Linked DNA regions of Drosophila melanogaster. The protein of the gene in region 1 purifies or fractionates together with the protein of each later gene. This does not show direct contact. Each region holds a gene or a part of one and is shown in the gene's direction. Other genes may lie near its edges.

Evidence for each region.
Region 2: the proteins of SmF (region 1) and SNRPG fractionate together in Drosophila melanogaster (co-fractionation; one study listed by BioGRID). This does not show direct contact.

What each region holds. Positions count from the first base shown.
Region 1 is NT_033778.4:12,183,306-12,186,275, reverse strand, and holds SmF (small ribonucleoprotein particle protein SmF), read left to right. Parts: upstream 1-1,965; 5' UTR 1,966-2,086; coding exon 2,087-2,353; 3' UTR 2,354-2,432; downstream 2,433-2,970. UniProt on the Drosophila melanogaster protein: Plays a role in pre-mRNA splicing as a core component of the spliceosomal U1, U2, U4 and U5 small nuclear ribonucleoproteins (snRNPs), the building blocks of the spliceosome.
Region 2 is NC_004354.4:16,639,310-16,642,427, reverse strand, and holds SNRPG (small nuclear ribonucleoprotein G), read left to right. Parts: upstream 1-2,008; 5' UTR 2,009-2,090; coding exon 2,091-2,122; intron 2,123-2,187; coding exon 2,188-2,335; intron 2,336-2,397; coding exon 2,398-2,448; 3' UTR 2,449-2,618; downstream 2,619-3,118. Other genes in the region: mthl1 (methuselah-like 1), read right to left, coding at 1-951. UniProt on the Drosophila melanogaster protein: Plays a role in pre-mRNA splicing as a core component of the spliceosomal U1, U2, U4 and U5 small nuclear ribonucleoproteins (snRNPs), the building blocks of the spliceosome.

The sequences.
Region 1 (2,970 bases):
TTTTATTAAATCAGCCGTCTTAATTATTTTTAGCTGGCATTATCTTTTCCATTCCAACGCGAATTACAATTAGTTATGATAGGGAGCATTACAATGAGTGTTTATGATACGCTTATAGTAATTCCCGCCATATCTACACCCAATTAAGCTGCTTGTAAAGCTAAATAGAAAATCTTTTCGGGCAGCAAATATGACACTAAAAATTTGCCAGCAAGGATTTCGTCCTAAGCTTTATTAATTATACATGAGACTACTATTTCTATAGAGCAAATGTCCAAAATATATTTCTTAGAAACCAGTTCTCTATTTATTTTAGTAACAGTAACAGTAACCAAGTAATCTTAATTTTCACAGTTGCCCTCAATTCCATATTAAGTGTGGTTTTTTCAAGGATATCACACTTTTTCAAATTAAAATATACAATTTTGTATACCGAATTTCATAACTTACTTTGAAAATATACAGGTTTTTTTAGTCACACAATTTATTTGCAACTGGCCTAATTCGCAACAAGTTTGTCCAGCAATTTCAAGGAAACTTTTATTGGATCTATAAATTCTGAGCACCCGCGTACACAACCGACAATTAAAGCTCTACGCACCGCACTTGGGGCGATTTGAAATGTTGTTTGCGTTTTTATACTCGAAAGTCTCAAAAGTTCTGAGATAGCAATTTCAAGTGCATACTTATAAATTCACCTGTGTGGTGGAAAAAGCTTTAAAATACGACAAACAAACCACAGCAAATCCAGAGGGACTCTAAGATAATTACAAGTCATGATTACATTTATTATAATGATTCTTAGTTTTAACAACCTTATTTACTTTTTGTGTGCTATGGTTTAGTTAGATTTTTAAAAGCGTTAACGCAATACATATACGATATGAAAAGTATTGCACGCTATAATCTATAAATAATTAAACACAACCGGCTTTCTCGTCAAGCTTTTGATGCATTTGTGAATTTCATTATTGTTGCGTTTGCTGCTTTATAGAAACAATTGCAAAATGCCTGGGCGAAATGACGGGATCAAATAAATCTATCAGATAGCTGCGTTCATAGCCAAGTTCCTTGAGGTAGAGCAGGCGATCCAGGAGAATTAGACTCTCCAGCACCGGAGCAAAGGACATGCGCAGCAGATAGAACAGATCCAAGAAGTATTTATGCACGGCATATTCCTGGAGCAGGGATTGAAGTTCTTCTTTCTCAACAGCTGCCAACCAGGGAGCATCCAATTTGGTGGCACACTTTTGAATGTACTCCTCGAAACTCTCGAATTTCCGTACCTTGCCCACCTGCAGTTCGTTTTTCAGCTCCGGCGCATGGCGGCAAACCAGAATCTCCAAGAGAGCTCGATAGTAGAGCGTTACATTAGGCAGCTCCTTGGTGTCCAAGGTGCGTTCAATTGACTGGGCCGCCAGCATCCGCGCATTGCGACCCATTCGCACTTGTCGCTCCCGCAGGTACTGACTCAATGGGAATCCATAGTCTGTTTGCAGCTCCATCAGGGACTTATTGCCAAAGAACTCCTGCTGCGAATAGCGCTCCCGCAGCAAATGATAGCAGCAGCCAACATTACAAAGCAACCGGCAGTCCGTTTGGGCGTGGAAAACCTGAAGACAGGTGGCGGCCAGGTTGCCACAGGTATGCAATCCAGTAAGGCAAATGTTTGGACTGTCTTCCGGTCTAAACTGAGTGAAATTCTCCGCCAGCAGGGCACCAAAGTTAAGTTCGGTGGTTATAAACTTTGCCGTTGTCTTGTAGTTTTCCAAGGCAGGCGCACTCTTGGTGCTCTCCCTGGCTGGCGACTTTTTACCACGTCTCTTGGGCGTGATTCCCTGGACTTGCAGCTCCGCTCGTTCCGTAAGGCCATTCCAAGCGCGCTGAAATTAAATAAAATTTTAATTTTGGCGCTTTTGAATGGTTTTTCAATACTCTTCTTCTATGCTATTCTTCTTCTTGTTCTGGTATGTTTACACAGCGCAGCTGTGGTCACACTACACAAAAAAAACGCGAAAAGCCGGCGATTTTCGGCACGCTTGTTGTAATATTTTATAAAAAAGGCAGGAAAAATCAAATAAACAGAATGTCGGCTGGTATGCCCATTAACCCCAAGCCCTTCCTGAACGGCCTGACGGGAAAACCGGTGCTGGTGAAGCTGAAGTGGGGCCAGGAGTACAAGGGCTTCCTGGTCTCCGTCGACGGCTACATGAACATGCAGCTGGCGAACACGGAGGAAGTGATCGAGGGCTCCGTGACTGGTAATCTTGGCGAGGTGCTCATCCGCTGCAACAACGTGCTGTATATCAAGGGCATGGAGGACGACGACGAGGAGGGCGAAATGCGCGACTAGCCAATGGATTCACCTACATACACCCACACCTTACTTCTAAGTCTACAAACGTAATGAAATAAAGCTAACTTTATTTTGTAAGCCCGGCCTACCTGCAATTTGCGATTCCTATTCAATGCGTTCTCGGTGTTTGCCGCGTTCGCATCGATGCCGAGCACGCGGTGACCATACTGGAGCGCCAAGCGCGAGGATAAATACCCTTTGCCATCGCCCGCGTCTACAATGAAGCAATCTTGACCGGAGTTCTTCACAAGCTGGTCCACGAGAACGGCTGTTAGATCCACCTAATCGGAGAGATTAATCAATTCCTAAAATACTCTCATTTAAAATGGTTGGTTTACTTACCTCATGGCACTTTTTGGCGCTCATAAACTCCCGAATGCTTAGCTGCGTGGAGTTCCCCTGACCCTCTGAAGCGACAGGCGTTCTTGTTTGCTCTTGCCTAGGAATTCTCGCCATGCCGGAAACCTTTCTGATTCATCAGTTTTCCAAAATAGGTCTTCTATGGCCAGAGCCACATCTTCCTTGCCGGCGATCTCACTTTTCAGCGTTTCGGATAAAAAGCCGTCCCAGTGCTGGTCCGTCAAGTAGTTCACCATGTGGCAATTGACAAAATC
Region 2 (3,118 bases), on another chromosome or scaffold:
GCCTCCAATGGAGCCGTCGTGGATGCCGGCTCCTGCCGCGGAGCTAAACAAATGCTGGCAGGCTATGATCTTCACCTCGCCCTCGCGCTGCGTGTGCTCCAGGCAGTATTGTCCGGCGCTGAGGTTCTTGTGCGGCAACTGGAGCATGGCCGTGTTCCGATCCAGCTTGGCATCCTGCCAATCACCGGCAATGGAGTAGCCACCGGGTTGGCCACAGTCGGGCAGGCCGTAGCTAGTCTGATAGCTGCCCTCCGGTAGCTGCGGCGACAATCGCAGCAGTCCATCGACGGCTGCCTGATGGTTGGGCTGCAGATCGCAGTTCTGGAGCTGCGTGTTATAGCTGCCCCACTTGCCGCAGCACTTGCTCAGTCGCAGGCTAGCCTTGGGCGGCTCCTGCTGCACGAGAGGATTGGCTGCATAATCGGGATCCTCCAGAGCATTGATCGGCTGACTGTCGTTCAAGCAAACGACGGCCACCTCCCAGTCGACACAGTAATCCGACGGCTGGACCATTAGAGCGCGTTCCCGCACATAGAGCGTGCCATTGGGAAAGAGCATCACATTGGCTCCGCGGCTGCGAAAGATCTCCGTCGTCTGGTCCTTTCGGCACGTGGGTCTCGTATTGGGCAGGAACTTCAAGAATCGCGGACTGGCGCCATGGGGCTCGAAGAAGCGCTGCTGCTGCACCAAGTACACCATGGGCAGCCACAGGGCTTCGCTGCCGGCGATGCAGGTGCCATCGTTCAGATACTCGCCCGAATGGCAGCACTTGTTGAGCTTCACGGTGGGCGGCGGCGATGGACGTGGCGGGGCGGCCGGTGGTGGCGACATCTCCTCGATGGCCAAACTCATCGACACAAGCGTCTGCAGCAGGATGACGGTCGTCAGTAGGCCACATGGCCTGATGAACTGGTTGCTGCTGGCAGCTCTGCTACTCCGACTCCTGTCCATCGTTAGCTCACTCGTCAAGATCTGTGTGGATTTCAGGTTCTCTTGTCTCTTGGCCTCAATTTGCAATTTATGTGGCTATGTACTACACATAGCTTTAGCTATGCTGTTTTTCTTTTGATTTTGCGTTCCGTTTCGCTTCGTCGAATAGCACTTTTCACTTTTCCTCTCTTTCGTTGGCAAATGGAAAATCAGAAAATGCTGAATTTCACCGCCGCAAGTTGGGCAAACAAACACCGAAAATCGTTAAGTAAACAACACACGCTGCGCTGCGTTCGATTTCGAATGCATTCCAATATAAAATAGAGTTGTCAGCGAATCATGTATTTATCACAATATCACATTCTTATCGTTGCGTTTTCATTGCGTGCTTGTGCGCCAAGGCTTTTCAGTCAGTCTCCGTTTTCAGTCGTAAACACGGCGCGCGGTGTGTAAAAAAAAATATATGCACGATTTGCGCTCCGATTTTAACGCGCATCAGACTTTTCCTCGCGTTTTTTTCGAAATACTATCGTCGATCAGGGGGGCGGGGATTTTATACGGGTGCCTGGGCGAGTGTGACCCTGTGCGATGCCGAAATACCTGTAGCCGGGGTCACACTGCAGCGCAGATCTGCGCTAACCACAAAATAGCCTTTTCACACGGCCGCTACAAGTCGCGTTGATGCGGTATGTTCGCACTGCCTGAAGTAGGGAGGCATATATAAAAAAAATGTCAGCTTCTCTTTCAAGAATCGATTTCAGCAAACAAAATTGGTTAAATAAACTAAGGATTAATGTTTTTTTTTATTTATACTAACCGTTAATAAAAAGTGTGAAAGATCGTTTATGCGGATGCGACGTCTGTTTAAATAAATCGTTTTGCCATTAATAGAATACTGTCATTTACCACTCCTTGTATATATGTTTTTATATTGCGATTTAGAAGGATTATTCCTATGTTATTTGCTATTTGAAAATTTCATTTATGTGAGCACTTAAAAGCCAGCGAATTTGGCGGAAAAATATTTTTCCCGCCCGAAAGTGTGACCAGTTGGTAGAGTGACCAAGACGATAGTATAGCTCCAATCAATAGTGACATCTCTAGCTTGCGGTCCGCGTTTTTACTTAATTTTCCCATTTTGCGCAAATTAAACCATCAAAATGTCGAAGGCCCATCCCCCAGAGGTGAAAAAGTAAGTGCAACCCATGTGGGAAAAAGATAGCGCTCCATAAATGCAATTAACAATACAACTTGCAGATACATGGACAAGCGCATGATGCTGAAACTGAACGGCGGACGCGCGGTGACCGGTATTTTGCGAGGCTTCGATCCCTTCATGAACGTGGTCCTGGACGACACGGTGGAGGAGTGCAAGGACAACACGAAGAACAACATCGGCATGGTGGTAAGATGCGCAGCATACCCTGCCATAAACTATCGACTCACTCGTTTTTCCCACCTGGCCAGGTTATCCGCGGCAACAGCATCGTCATGGTGGAGGCCCTGGACAGGGTCTAGCACCCGCCTCGGAACCCGATCTCGTCGAGCATCGTTAGCCGTAGTGCTTAGTCTTAAGGCTCCGTAACATTCATAGTCAGAAGAAACACACAAACTCTTGAATAAATTCTATAACAAAGATACCCCTTTTTGAACTGACAATTTATATGAGCAGTTTGGAAAATAAGTCGAAAATATTTAATAATATTGCGTACTTTGTGGATTTACTGCATTGGGAACTTGAGTCGGAAGATTGCCACTTTAAATGACGTCGCCAAGACTAGCAAATGTATTTTCCAAGAAATGCAAACACAGATAGCTTTACACATAATTGGTTTCCAAATCAATTTTTGTGCCTTTGATTTTATACAAATGCTTGGCTTCTTGATTTCTTTGTTAATTTAACTTATTTTCGGCTATTAGTGCCTTACTTGTTGAAAGATTTTGGCCATCTCCTTTTGAATTTGTATAACAATGTTCGATCGACAAAATAAAAGGCTACGTCTTTTTAGTCTTCAATCAATGCAAGAAGTTTACTTCAAGTATATCAGAAAGTTCTTTATCCGCAGATTTTATTTGTCGAAATGGAATAGAAAACAAGACACAATATATATTGAAGCAAGGCAGCTCCACCATTTCACCAAAAAGGGAATGATTTAAATCTAAAGATTAACCTTACCAAGTCCGCATG